Linked DNA regions of Styela clava. The protein of the gene in region 1 purifies or fractionates together with the protein of each later gene. This does not show direct contact. Links are inferred from orthologs where the notes say so. Each region holds a gene or a part of one and is shown on either strand. Other genes may lie near its edges.

The links.
Region 2: the proteins of GTP-binding protein 4-like (region 1) and ribosome biogenesis protein NSA2 homolog purify together in Homo sapiens (affinity purification with mass spectrometry; 3 studies listed by BioGRID and IntAct, counting the BioPlex papers as one, with this or other methods). This does not show direct contact. The link is inferred for Styela clava from reciprocal best matches to the Homo sapiens genes GTPBP4 and NSA2.

What each region holds. Positions count from the first base shown.
Region 1 is NC_135252.1:23,061,717-23,069,593, reverse strand, and holds the start of GTP-binding protein 4-like, read right to left. Parts: upstream 3,399-7,877; 5' UTR 3,378-3,398; coding exon 3,330-3,377; intron 2,964-3,329; coding exon 2,793-2,963; intron 1,916-2,792; coding exon 1,812-1,915; intron 238-1,811; coding exon 1-237. UniProt on the Homo sapiens protein: Involved in the biogenesis of the 60S ribosomal subunit. Acts as a TP53 repressor, preventing TP53 stabilization and cell cycle arrest.
Region 2 is NC_135263.1:3,697,221-3,705,211, forward strand, and holds ribosome biogenesis protein NSA2 homolog, read right to left. Parts: upstream 2,438-7,991; 5' UTR 2,371-2,437; coding exon 1,588-2,370; 3' UTR 770-1,587; downstream 1-769. Other genes in the region: DNA-directed RNA polymerases I and III subunit RPAC1-like, read right to left, coding at 422-738; uncharacterized protein LOC120341273, read right to left, coding at 5,532-5,587, 6,069-6,251, 7,012-7,192. UniProt on the Homo sapiens protein: Involved in the biogenesis of the 60S ribosomal subunit. May play a part in the quality control of pre-60S particles.

The DNA.
Region 1 (7,877 bases):
TTATTAATTAAACTCGATTTCCCAACATTTGGAAATCCACTGATGAGTAAAGTCCTTGTATTTGGATCAATGCTTGGTAAACGAGACATGTGTTGTCGAACTTCCTCCAAATATTCCAGACTTTGTTTTTGTCGTTTCATTATTGTGCACATCCTACCAAGCGCTGCTCTTTTCAGTTGTTTGCATCGATATAATGAATCGCCATATTTCATTAGTCGACCGTAATCACGACCAACACTGTAATATTGAATAATATAGTGATTGATACCAGAGCTAAGATCTAAAGCCCGAGCTGACCCGAAATTCAGGGCCGGTTTGGGCCTGAAATGTCAATCATTACGTTCTGGTCGGGTTCGGTGGGGCTACTCTATCGCCGACTTTTTTTTTAAAATGAGGCGTTTCGGCCGTGTTGTGGCTACGAGAAATCGTGGTCTGCAAAAAACAGAAGTTGCCTCATCAACACGACACATACTTTACAAAACTCTTGCGATGACAATTCAATGAAATCCTAAATAAAATATGAAATTTTGGGTTTGCTTCGGGCTCGGGCCTGCAAATCCAGTTAATTAGTCGAGTTCGGGTCGGGCTGAAATTTTTGGGCCAGATCTTACCTCTAATAACTACGTATGAATAGTGTCATGTGGTAGGCACAGTGGACCAAAGTTGGCTGATCGGGGCCAAAATTGGAAGGTATAAAGGATATTCGAGGGCCAAAAGAGTGGAGCACCTGCAAGGGCCCGATGCTGGTATGTATAAATAGGATACAGGTATAATTGAACATGCCAAAACTGTCATATTGATTATTGACCTAACAATTGGCCAATGGCGGTATCTAAAACGAAAAAAGAAAAAACAAAGTTTTGAACTATTTTGAAATGAATCAAATATTCGAATACATTCAAATTGTGTTAATTTTATGAACAATATTTGTGTGTTACGAAAGTAGAAAACAATAAGCCTCGTGTCAAAACTAAATTTAATCGCAATATCAACAAATTTCGTGAACTATTTTTGAGTGAAACAATATAAAAATTTGGTTTTAGTTCGGTTGTGGTAGCATCAGGCAGGCCAGATTGAATAACCCACCAGGCCGGATTTGACACGAGGGCCGCCGGAGTTTGTCCAGTGTCCACAAGTGCAGTTTTAAGCACCTTGTGGCGTCTGAAGATGCCGCAAAACCATTGCAAGATTTCCAAACCATGGCCGCTAAGGTCAGGCCAGGGCAGCTGACTTTTTAGCTGCCACAGTCCCCGAACGAAGGGCGTGAGGTGGTGTATCACAACAGAAAATTGAAAACCATGGTTGGTAAAATTGTGTGAACCCAGGGATGTAGGCTGTAATGGCGGGACTGCCCCTGATGATGACACACTTTGGGTAAGTTAGAACATTTTCCGGTGCTCTCGAAGTATGCGAACCAAGATGGCGGACATCGGAACGTAACATGGGTAACAGGTTAGGGTTAGGCGATAATTTTTTTCCAATTTTCCTTATTTTAGTCCAATTATCAGTTCGAAGACTAGCCAAGAGCCTCCCGTATTATTTATACCTAAAATTATGGCCTAACCCTAACCTAGTACACATATTACATTCCGATGTCCGCCATCTTGGTTCGCATACTTCGGGAGCCCCCATTTTCCGTATGGATACAGTTTTTGATTAATTTGAGGTATGGCTAGGTTTAAGTAAATATAGAGTAATAGCGCCATAAAACCATGGCGAAAAACGCCGCGGTTTGTTTTGGCGGGAGCTGCCATGAAGTGGTAAGAATTGCGCCTCAATGTCCATGTCAGTTTTAGAGCCAACGTTCTTACTTGTCAATAAGATGTTTGGCAGTGTTGATTTGTCCGAGAGCAAGTTTGTAATGGTCCTTGTCATAGAGAACGTTCATTAGATCTGCATAAAATGGATGGACATCCTGAAAAAAAAAATTAAGAGATGAATAAAGGTAATATTTAGTCTGTATCAACTTTGCAGTTGCCACAAGGATGCTTAAATGGGATAGTATTAAAATGATAAATGAGAATACCATAATCCAGAGACGGGCGATTACTTTTTTGAGTGGACCATTTACAGATAACAGACTTGGTCACTGGGCAGGACACTCAAAACTCAACATGGACCTATAAAAAAATGTTATTTACAAATAAAAACCTATGAAAAAAAAGTTTATTTACAAATACCAAACAACAAGCGAAGCAAGTGGCGCCTTATATTTAGGTGCAGATAATACATTGGAATTACAGTCTATATTTTAGCCGATGATTCGTTATTTTTTTCGAAACTTTTAACGCAAAATTATATACGATATCTATAAAAACTTTTGACAAATTTTGGGTTATGTTGAACCAGTTAAAAAGATCAACCAAAGCATTTAATCAAAAATTATACTAGTTGGAAATGAAGCGTGTTTCAAAATATACTTCTATTCTGCTCTGAATAACATCCTGAAATTAATTATATTCAATATTTTAAATTCTAGATTTTAAGAATAGCTTGGGCGCTCCAAAAGTATGTGTACTAATATGAAGGTAACTAATTTTTTTCGCCTACTTCACATCAAGTTGTGCGAAGGGACTGAAACCTATTGGCAGGGGATATTCACTTTGCTAACACAGATTTTTCCTGAATTCGTAAGGAGAATCGGAACCTAACCTGGTACTTATACTACGGTGCCATAGCTTGAATAATTCTATCAAAAAATAATCATTCTGAGCGAAGCGTCTTAAAATAATGAATCACTCAATTTTATCCATCCCTGTATCAATATTCAAAATTAATAATAATAAAAATACCTCAAGTTTAGGAAACTCTGTAAGAATCAGACTCAATCTATCATGGTAGTTCTGTTGAGTGTATCGAACTTTCCGTAAATAAAACGCTCGTATTCTGGAGATCGGATAACTTTTATGAACTACAGTTGGAGTTTTTCTCTGTGTCTTTGATAATGTGATGTCAATGAAGTCCTGTGAAAATAAGTAAGGAAAGATTAGTAAAGAAATTGAGAATGAGTTTAGCTTGAGAGTACAGAGTAACCTAAAAATGATCCAATGTCATTTAGAAACTATTCTGTAGAGAACGTAACTTTTGTGCAAAGTGTCATGCACAAACAGAAGTTCCAGTGTTCCAAAGAATCCAATGGTGAAGTTTTTAGATTGCTCTTACTTTCAGTTTATTGCGCAAAACTGGTTTGCCGATTTATGCCGCTATGGAGGCCTATACTGTCATGTAAAGAGGGAGTTTGCTCTCACTATTATAATTAATTAATGTCTTTCAATGCGAGGGTTATTCTTGAAATATCATACTGAACTATTCCCATATTCTATACTTACTTTCGATGATGGCACCACTGTGATCTTTTTGAAATTATACAGAGCCATTTTTAATTTTATGCTGAAAAAAACAAAGAAATTGTATTACATGCTTCATAGAGACAATATGCCTAAGGCAGAGTAGACTATATTTGGCTAAACGCTAAAACTGTGAAATGAGCGTCTCTTTCCGTACCATCATAAGACATGTAAAAGGTTTTTGCGTTCTTGGCAAAAAGTGCAAAAACATAACAGAATACCGTACGGGTAGGTAGTTTTGCAGTGACAAATTGAATAGGATTAAAATAGGTTTTACATACCTATCCCGGGGGGAAGGAAAGTATAAGACGGCCTAACCATATGGCGAACCACGGCCTCGTGTCCGATTCCCATTCCATGTCTGGTATGGGATTAGTTAGTTATTTGACAAATTGTTTTTTAGAAGCATGGACTTCAGGACTGGTGGAGGAAGCCCTAATCGATCAGCGGTTACGTGAACCCCCAACGACGGCGAGGAGTCCAGCAATCCTCTCACACATAACCGTCCATGCATGGAATTTGAACCTGCAAACCCGCGCAGAGTAATCAGAGGTCTGGCGAGCGTATTTCTAACGCTTAGCATAATGGAGTCTCATGTTGTTTCGTACCTAACATACTTCTAGAGGGCGTAGCATAACAATTTTTTCATGTTTCGATCCTAACCCCCACATGCTGACATGACTACACAATCCAAAAATTATGTCACTATGACGTAATAGCTGAATAGAGCTCTTCAAACTATACGAATTGTCATTCAAAGCACGCAGACGAGCACCCGAAATCAAACAGCTATTTCTCTTGTTTTCTCGTCGCGACGATCTCAATATGAGAGAGCTCGATGACGTTAGTTCTCTATCGTCGGCAACGATGCTATTTCGGGTGATCGTACGTATATTTGGCAAGCTCTATGACGTGCTTGTGATGTTGTAGTCTACTGACGTAAGCTTTGGACGGCCAGATTTCAGATTGGGGTTAGGATTGACATATTAAAAAATGGTCATGCTACGCCCACTAGAAGTGAGTTAGGTACAAAACTACAAGAGAATTGTATGATGAGCCACACTGCCGCTACTAACCAACATCAAATTATATTCCAGGAATAGGCCGTGGTACAGTCAGACAGTGGTAAGATTGACCATGGTAAGATTGTTGACCGAAAAAAACGTCGGCACTGGTAACTGGGCTAAGTCGTACCTACCGGTAACGTTAAGTCATTTTAGCATTCAGGCCAGACTGCCAGAAGTACGGTAGACTGTAAGTATACCAGTAAGTATATTTCGATTTTTCCGCAAAAAAAATCATACACAAAACACAAACAATGAACACACATTGACACAGAAGATTGGGAAAATCGGGGAAACCTTTATAAAGGTTTAACACAAGTAAATATACATGCGCCAGTTTACCCACAGCACACAAACAACTATTCAAAATAAAAAGACAAAACTTGTGTAACATAAACACTCGGTGGGTCTCAATTAATAAGGCTGAAAAGTAGCCAGATAGGCCAGTAAGGAATGGCTGAATTTAGATTCCCGTTCACGATGAAAAACTTATATCTGTTCACACTCGGATACACTAAGCTCACTCAATTTCCAGTTTTCGAAAATATAGAAATAGCATAGCAAAACCTGAAACTCGGGCCTAAAAACCTAACACGCGGAACACAGATCGCCGAATCGATTGCGTAATCAGTACCTATTCATGTGTGACATTGTGGAATTTAGGATGGGAATGTAGATCTCATCATGGGATCTACATTTATCCCGATGGAGTGGAAAGCCGATAAAAAGACGAAATCATATAATATAGCTAAAGTGTTTTTTAACTTTATTTTAAGTGATGCTCGCCTTTTAGGTATCTCTACATTTCGTTTGTCTGTCTACTTTTTGTGCCGTTTTGTTTTTATGTCAGAGTAGCCTACTGAAATAGGGTAGGATAGGAGGGGATTTACATATTTATCCCGGGGAGAAAAAAGCCGATAAGACGGCTTAATTATAGGACGAACCACGGCCTCTCGTCCGGTTACCAGTCCAGGTCGACTATGGGATTAGTTAGCCAGTTATTTGTTTTCGGAAGCATGGACTTGATGGTGGAGGAAGCCGGTTAATGTAAATGTAAATAAATGATTGATTGATCGAGCGAAGCATGGCCTATCGTCCTGTTACTAGTCCATGTCGAATATGTAAGCAGTTGGCCAGATGTTTGTTCTCGGAAGCATGGACTTGATGGTGGGGGAGATCGTAACCGATAGAGCGGCGGAGAGTCCAGCAATTAATCCTCTCGCACATAATTACCCTACGTGGATTCGAACCTGCGAACCCACGTAGGGTAATTAGAGGTGCGGTGGCGAAGCGTGTTTTTCTTACGCAGGGTTTCCTAACCCGAGTCCGCGGTCTCAAATGAGTCCGCGAAGCGTTTGAATGAGTCCGCAACGAGCCAGAAATTCACTGCTGGTCGCAAACGTCTTTGCGAAACTAACTATCAGACAAGTTACGATTTACATTAGAATTTACATAAAACATAAATGTCAAGTTTATTCACATAACATTTCGAGTCAATAATTACTGGTTAATGAGTATATTCAACTATTAGTACCAGGTGACGAAAACACCTTCCAACGTAAACACGAGTCTGCTCACGCTTCGATAGAGTTCGCGAGTTGGAACAACGAGGAATCATTCTTTTTTGGTAGGTGTCAATGGTGGCAACGCAAATTTTCTAAATTGAAAAGCGGCAATACAAAACACTAAAAATAAAACGGATAACACCATCAGTTTTGTTTTATGATTATCCGCGACCGATTAAAAACGCTTTTTTGAACATTGCAAATCGCCAAATTTCGGGTGCTACCGTGGTATACGTACCAGGGCATTTACCTCAGGATTCTTTGCCTTAGTCTCCACATTGGTACATACAGTACTGGAGCGCCGTAAGTGTTGTACGACCTACGAACAGCTCAGATTTGTCGAATTCACAAAAATACAAATCAAAACAAAATATAATCGGGCACTTTACCATATTAATATTTTCTGATTAGTATTGTTTTTATTTCGTCAACACAATTGCATATTAAAATCATCACAATTAACTTAATAGTAAAGCAAGGTGATGAATATGTATTTTTGATTTACTAATAAACTTTAAATATAATTTAAGTGCTAAATCAAGTTGTACTATCTGGAACTTTACAGCAGAAAGTATAATTTTTCTAACGGCGATAACAAATTCGCGAGATCGCAAAAACTACGTATCAAAACTAAATATAATCGGGCAATATATTCTCACATTATTATGTTCGCAGATTGCCGTGGCATTTTAAAGAAGTAATGTTTTCATCTTGTCGTAAGTCGACGCAACGGCGAGTTACCACCATGAACACAATAAATTAGAATAGAAAGACATTTTAAATTCTCGTCGTCGTCATGGACTGAATATTGTGCGACAGAAACCGCCATTACACACTAAAAAGTCGGCTCTTTTAACGAACGCGTAAATGCGCGAATTTCCGAATTTTATGTTATGTTCGGTTTTATTGCTTCTTCACAAAGAGTACGGTTGCAATAAATGCTCCTTAAGTTCGCAAAGGTTTTCGCCAGTGAGAAAACAGTCCGCGACCAAGAAAGGCTGGGAAACGCTGTTCTAACGCTTAGCACGATGCACACATTTCAGATGCATGGACTCGTTTCGGGTTTACGACAGCGGGGTGGACTCGTTTCGGGTTTACATAGGATGATATTTTCATATTTATCTCGCGGAAAGGAGGCCAGGGTAAGACAGCTTCGTTACGTGTTCGATAGATAACATATTCAATAATGAAATGAGGAGAACGAATTGTAAAACATACGTTTGCATCTAGCGTTATTTTAATTGAAAAAAAATTGAAAGGTTTACCGCCATTTGTATCAAATTTCCGCTAATTTCTATATATTGTCTTATTCAAGTGAAATATAATTTCAATGTTAGTGAATGGCACAATAAAATTATCGGCAACATACAATACAATAATTAAAATTGCTTCGAAACATCTTGACAATACTGAATACATCTGAAAAACACTTTCAAAATAATTGAATAGAAGAATAAAATTATCGGCAATACAATGAACATGTCTCAACAGAATTGAATAGGACGGATTCCGGTTCTGCATATGCTAGACTATAGTCTAGACCAGACATGAGCAAAGTACAGCCCGCGGGCCAAATCCGGCCCGTTGGGTAATTCAATAGGGCCGCCTGATGCTGCCACAACCAAACTAAAACCAAATTTCGAAATAGCTCAAGGAATTTGTTGAGATCGCGATCCAATTGAGTTTTGTCACGAGGCTCATTATTTTTTACTTATTAAGTACTTACTTACCTAAGTTTTACTTAAGTATGGTCTTGTGTATACATCCCGTCTTCAATGTTGATATTCACTAACTCCTGTGTTTTTGCTTTTACGAGACGAATAAACATACATACATACAAACACTGTAAATATTTTTCGTAACGTGTAACTTTTACGTCACACTTACATGGCCAGCCAGTC
Region 2 (7,991 bases), on another chromosome or scaffold:
ACTTCCGTGACCCCCCGCTGGCAACTAGATCCACTGCCGCGTAACAGCGAATACGAATCGTAAACATAAATAATAAATTAGGACGCTGGGCGAAAGTGATAACGCAAAGAATAAAATTATTGCAAGTAAACGTAACACTATTAAAAAAAAAAAAAGATTCCAAAGGGGGGGTTACGACCCATGTAACCTCCCCCCTGGCTGCGCCCCTGATCATGGTTATGACAAGTACCTAGGTAGGTGTACTTTCTCTTTATCTTGTAATTTGTGTGAAATCGAGTTTAAATGGCTAGAAAAATTAAACATAAATTGTACTTCTGAACTCAAGGTAGTGGTTAAAATAATTTTATCAACTTTCCTCTTCTCATTGATAAATGTGAAAAATCCCTTTTTAATTCAAAGTCATTAAAAATTCATGAATTACCTATGAGCAAGCACTTCATCCTGTATTATACTGGTGTTGTTGTAAATAAACGCTTTCTCGAACGCCATCGTTGGGACTTCAGCCAGGAGAATCCTTCGAAATGCATTCGCTATGGCAGCGTCAATCCCAATCATATCAAAAGTCATTTCATCTTCGTCACATTTCAAAATATTAATCCGAAAGTTTTTCATGAACTTTTCGCGGCTCCATGCGTCATCGTAGCCGACGTAACTCCCTGGGAAATCAGTTGTGTGGACATTTAATACTCCATGTTCCCCCATGGTGACTCTAGTCCGCATATCGTCAATGTGAGCCATGGTTATTTATAGCTATAGCAAGTATCTACAATCTAATTTAAATGAAAGCAGATTGCAGTTGATAATGTTAAGGCAACAAGTCAGTCAAAAAAGTATTGAGTTTTGAAATATCTCACAAACTTTTGGCAGAATGGTAACAGAAAATAATTCAATTTGAGTTCAAAAATACTGTGAATAAACTTGGCGAATACCCTCGCATATAGGCTGAGTTCGAAACTCAAAAAACAAAATATTTGCCAAACTAAGATGTCGGTTCATAGCGCATAACTCCTATACATGCACTCAAACGAATTCACATTATGCTAACTTAATTCCAACAGCTGCAACTCAAATTTGCTGTCGCAGGAGGAACTACAGCGTGTTATGATATGTAGGGTCAGCTTATATGTGAATTTTTATAAATTCACCTTTTAGGGGGGGGGGGGGGGGGGGGGGGGTCGATTTGTATGTACGATCGGCTTATATGCGAGAATATACGCATTCAAAAATAATATACCACTGATTGTAGAACAAGGTAAATGAAACAACAAAACAGATCAAAATATAGCAGAGAGAGGAGAATACGCAGAAATCCCAGCAACAGAATAAGATTAACAGTAATCACCCAAAATATGTCTCTACACTTTTTGCTGTCTAAAAGTTTTGATCAAAAAACAAAATATCTGCCAGCAAAATTGAAGAGTCAGTATAAAGACTGGATAATTGGTCCCAACTGCTACTTAAATGACCTACCTGAAAAAAGACTTCTGGGTTTGACTGGGTCTTCTGGGTCGTACTGGAGTATGATTTTATTTGATGATTATCCCACATACCACACCAAGGATAATTTTTTTTTCTCTACGACAATATCTAGACCAGTAATACTGCGTTTATGCAGCCATCGTTTTCAGGATTATTTGTAACCTGGGCGTATTTTCCCCAGATTACTTTCCCCCCTTGTGTTACCAATCCCAGTTCGCTCACATTAACTTCTATGACTGTTCCTTTTGTGATTACTCCAAGAGATGTGTACATAGCAGATGACGGATTCTTTTTTACTCCGATGACTGGTAAACAAAATGTAGCCTTCAGCTCAGGATGAGTGACATGTGCTTTTTTGAACCTAAGCGCCATTGGTCTGATGAATCTTTCGTATTTCGGCGGTTTTCTTGTAAAGTTATCAGGAACATAACAAACTTTTGTGCACATTCGTTTCCATGCTTTTTTCTTTCTTTTCCCTGTTGTAATTGTTCTGAAGACTTCCGCTTCGCTTTGTGCTCGTACTTTCGGGAGCGGAACAGACCATTTTCCCGCTTTTTCTTTACGTTTTTGCTTAATCATGTTAGATAAGACTTTTCCACGACTTTGGCTCTCTCTGTCGAGCAGATAAGCAGGAATAGCTCCCTCTGGTGTCTTTTCATCATCTTTCTGCTTGGTGTCCCGTTTTTCATGCATTTTGATCGTCTTTTTCATCATTATTTTTTCATTGCGTCTCTGTTTGTTGTACATCTTCGCTTTCAGTCCAATCAGTTTCTTTGCTTTAATCGCTCGTGTGTGAGCTTCCCTCCCTTCTTTCTTTCGTTTTCTTTCATGATAGTCGAGACGATAACCATGTCGCTTCCGATGAAGCTCAATATGCTCGTTCTGTGGCATTTTGCTGTGGTGATTGGAGTCAAATTATTGAGTTTAAAATAATTTCTGAAAAATAGGTTCGTTTTTATAATTTTATTACACTAAAGCAAATAATCAAAGAGTTGAAAATCAAAGCAGCCTTAGTGACATTACAAAAGTAATAATAACTAATATGTCCTAAAGACAAGCACAAAATAGAGAATGGTTCAGACAGTGTTAGTACGGTAATTATAAAAGCTGAAAACTAACACATTTAAACCGAGATATTATCAAGACAAGCAGAGCACATCCTGTTGCATCTGCCAACGCGCCAGACACTCTCGCCTCAGAGACAATAAGTATACCAACAATCGCCCAATCTGCGCTGACGATAAAGGACTCATTAACAGCAGCGATCTCTCTCATATCAAGATCATTACACTGAGGAAACGAGATGAATAGCATTCTCAGTTTGGGTGATCGTCTGCACACCTTAGATGACAGTTTGTATAGTTTGAAGGGCCTTATTACATCACTGTAACGTCGTAGTGACATAATTTTCGGATGACGCAGTCGGGTGGGCTAGGTTTGACATATGCAAAAATTGTTACCAAAGTTACGCCCACTAGAAGTACTTGAGGTACGAAACTACACTGGACCTCATAACTGTACAAAAGACAATCCTTAAGAATCAGCCAGTTTGCCTTTTGAAATGAATCTTAAAAATTCAATGATCCAAACAATTCAGTAATTATAAAAAAGTGAGAGAAAGACACATACGGTACTGTATTGGTTGAACTGTTTTAAACTGCTGAACTCAGAACCTGCTTATGTCTGTAAGGTACCGTACGGTACCGTATGCAGGTATGGGTTACTCCATTACCGGTATAAAGTCCACGCATCTGAAACAAATAACTGGCTAACTAATATCATACCACTGTACCAGGTCATACGATACGGTACACGGCATGGACTGGTAACCGGACGAGAGGTTGTAGTTCATCACATTAATAGGCTGTCTTATCGACTTTCCTCTTCTCGGGATAAATATGAAAATCTTATCATATCCTATCCAACAGCCAGACAATCCCATCTTCCTGTCTTCTGGAATTCTACTTTCAGACTTCACATGCTAACCAGTTTACTACAGTGAGCGGGCAAAAAGCTAAACTCGCTGTAAAAATATATGAATCACAATAAAGTCTGCCCACTCAAGTTTAAGATGAGATCACTTTCCTCGTTCTGTCGTTGCCAAATTTATGATAAACAGACATTTTAGAGAAAGAAAACCTCGCTACTCATGTAACGAGCGAAATTAGAAGACTTGATTTCGATGCCGAGAAAACGAGAGAATTAGAAAAGTAGTATTACGTCAGATGCGGCATGTTATTTGAGAGAATAATAAAAACAGCGGTTCAGAAATGGATTCATCATTAGCTCACCTGCGACTTTTGTGGCACTTACTGAATCGCCTAACTTACTGATCCGAGAGCAGAAACGAATTTTGAAAGGTTTGTACATATTGCCTGATGCTGTTACATTTGGAAAGCTATGAATATACGCTAATTGTTGCCAAACTTGCCGCCGCTTTTCTGTTGTTTTGGAGCCAAACAACACCCACCCGAACGACCCCCTCACTAAAGCGCAAACCAGCAATACTCGTGACGAAGATTTTTCTCACAATGAAAGTTTTTTCAAGGTTTCTAAACGGTACTCCCACAGTGTGTGTACCAAGTTAGGCCATAATTTCATTCTGATTTTCCTTATAGGACACGTTTAGTGGACATAACGATCGTTTCAATATTATGTTGTAATTGTTATTTGTCTCCATCATTTTTAAAAAATCGCTTTTCTCTTCGAATACTGGACCAATTGCTTTGAAATTTTCAGTTAAAGATAAAAATTTTCTCCAGAAGGCTATTACTTTTTTTTCGCTATGACTTCATCAAAATTATTGCCATTGGGTGGCGCTACGTGTCCATATATTTGAGCATAGCTCTCTTGTTTTAGTTTTATTGAGATTTCGGGGACTGTCTATTTTAGCCCATAGGTTTCATTCCTTTTACAGTTTACACAACTTGATGTAAAGTAGGCGAACAAAATTAGTTACCACCATATTGGTACACATACTTCTGGAGCGCCTTCTTAACTACATTTCCAAGAGAGTCTTCCTGGCCAATAAGTCACTACAACCCCCAAAATGTATCACAGTGCAATATATATTTGCATTAAGATACTTCACAGCAGTTTTGCTAAAAAAAAACTAAAACAGTGATAGAAAAGATCTCACAAGGTTATATAAATCAAAGACGATGTGGTCGTTACAAATATTACGTTAATCAGAAACCAACGAATATAGACATGAATTTTTCTATTCACAGTTCATGATCACAAAACTCCAGAAAAAAATAAAGCATAATATATGCCACTAAGTAGCCTACTGTACAAGCAAAACGAACAGTTGAACACATTTGCATATCAGCAGTGAACAACAAAGTTACGTTACAAAGACCGTTTTATATATATAAACAATTTGAAGTAAGAATCGGTTGATCGAAGATCTGCATGTATTAGTACATGTCGCAGTAAGAATCGGTTGATCGAAGATCTGCATGTATTAGTACATGTTGCAATCAGTGGTGAGATTCAATTTTTTTGTCAGCCGGTTCCATCACAGAAGTCATATTTTCACCCGGTTCTGTTACAACAAGTCATTGACAGTAACCAGCAATGCTAACCTGTTCGCTGATCTCATAAAACTTCGTGAGACGGTTCTGTAGAACCGGTTCAAACCGGCTGAATCCCACCACTGGTTGCAATGTATAAGCCACTCACAAGTCTGTTAGTAATACATAAACAGAATAGGGGCGTAGCAAGGAATTTACAAAAGAAGGGGGAGGGGGGTCTGAAAATTCTAAATGCGAAGTCAGACCGTAACATCTAGCGGATCCGGGTCTTGAGTGTCCAAAAGGCGTTACAAGCTAAGAAAAAGCACTATGTATGATAGAAAAAAATGCTTTTTTCACATTTCAGAAAGAAAGGGGGGTACGACCCGCAACTCCACCTGGGTACGACCGTGATACAGAACAAAGGGTCATTCAAGGTCATTTTTGATTCTTGACAACTAGGCTAGTTTCTGATCAATTCTTTCATATCTCGTCTTCGTTAAAATTTGTGTTTCAACGTTCATCCCCTGAGTATAATTAAACGTGCGTCTTCTCTTCAACATCTTCTTCATTATTTTTCAGAGTTTCTTTTTCTTCGATATGAAAAATTATAAAAGAAATATTATAATGAGTAAGGTGACCTACTTTTAAGAATATTTTCATACGCACATAACTGCGAACAAGTCTTTTGCGATGTCATACCCTAAAAGACCAAAAGCTACAGATCTGACGACACATATCATATATTTCAATATGAAATTCAGAAAATTCAGAAACTAGGAGACATCGGCGTAGCCGGAAATTTTCGAATGAAGAGGGGGGTTCTGAAATTTCTAATTGCAAAGTCAGACCATAACAGCTAACGGATCCAAGTGAGTTTTCAAGAGTCTCGAGGGTCTAAAAGCGTTCCACGCTAAGAAAAATTGCTATGTATTATACAGAAAAATGCTTTATCCTATTTTAAAATAGGGACCCCGAGTCTACCCCCCTGCTAGAAGTTACGTGGAAGCTATATAACCTAATTAGAACTAGAAATGGCAAAAAAAATACATTTCGTCACACTGCAGGTCATACCTTCATTTAAACTGCTATCTTCCTTGTTTATGACATCAGAATCGTCTTTGTTACGTGTACAAAAAGAAAATATTCCGAATAATACTGAAACACACAAACTCATGGCACCAAATAACAAGAACATTTTATCTCCCCCGAACGTTTGAAAGAAAATTCCTCCAAGTAAAGCACCCACGCCGTAACCTGCAATAATAGATTAGCAAAAAAGCGTTGAACTCGTGAAGATACAATAAGCTGAAAATGGTGTTTCGATGAATCAGAATATTGATATTTTTTTATTTTTTTTATTTTTTAATTTTATTTTTTTCAGAATATTGATATATCTTAGAAGTAATTTGAAATTAGTTATCGCACATAACTTGAATATAAATCATTTCAAGGCATGCTGCATCGATTGATTGATAACAAATACCATATGCGCCTTTTTCGTGAAAGAAATGCTCCAATTAGCCACATCGATTACCCATGAGGGCGCTCCAGAAGTGAGTGTACCAATATGGAGGTAACTAATTTTGTTCGCCTAATTTACATCAAGTTGTGTGAAGGGACGGAAGCCTATTCACTTGGCTAACACAGACAGTCCCCGAACTCGTAATAGAACTAAAATAAGGAAAATCAAAATAAAATTATGGCCTAACCCTAACCTGGTACACATACTACGGGAGTACCCCCAGGAATATGTAGTTGGGATTGTCGGACTTGACTTTTTCAATTCAAACCAACGCTAAATTCACTTATTATTGCAGCAAACTGAATATATCGATACCATATATACTTTGATGGTCCGTACAGGTGTAGTAAATGAAGTAAAAAACCTAAATAATCACTGTTTAAAATAAAACAAACCTGATTTAGGAAGTATTGAGAACTGACTTCATGACAAAATTAAACTAAATTTAACTGTGACTTAATAAACACCAAAACAAAATAATTTCATCCTCACCTATTCCCCACAACGTAGCTTGTGTGATCCCCATTGTTGAAGCCTCTAATCCGAGCGGAGAAATTTTAGCAGTGTACGAGCACATCACAACCCAGGTCAGCCCCCAACTTATACCCCTCGGTGCTTCCTCGAGGATCAAATGCCAAGGTTCTGTTATCACTCCACATAATATCACCTGCAACTGAAATACGTAATATAGAGACTTATTAGAATTGTTGTGAAATCAGGTATTGTATAGATCAGTGGTTTCCAACCACCGTGCCGCGGCACATTAGTGTGCCGCGAAATGATTTTGGTGTGCCACGCAGAGATTTTATTTCTGAATTTATTTTAAGAAATTCCAATTTCAAATCCTTCGAATTTACGCCACGATTTATGCTAACAAACAGAAACGACATATTTGACGAGTCGTATTTGGATATTGTTTCAATTCCAAGTTTTGCATAAAGCGCGCCCACACCGTTTCGTAAAATTGAAAATGCCAAACAAAATAACAAATTATTGTGCGAAATTTTTCCCAAATTTCACTATGGAATTATTATTTGACTACTAGAATTGCCATTATTGCCGATTTATTGATTCATTGTTTGAACTGAAAATAACATTCAAAATTCACGCAATGACTTTGTCGGTTTTTTATTCACTATTCAATACGAAAATAAAACAGTACAACTGTACAAGTCAAATTATGCGAAGGTCAACTATCTTCTTAATAAATATCCGCATTCAGGCGTCAGAAAGGGTAATATTGTTAGCTTAAAATTGGGACATGCAATTTACAAACCGTGGGGAGAAAGATCAAAGCCGGCGCAAAAGATAAAAATCGGAATAAAATCCCGAATTCACTCCTTATGAGCTGTCTTTAACATATGTCGCCGATATTAACGAATAGTTCTCCCAGCAATATAAAACTTCGGCGTTCGCCGTTGTGTAATAATAATTGGTCCTTGTAAAAAAAAAGGAGGAAGGGCGGAAATAAC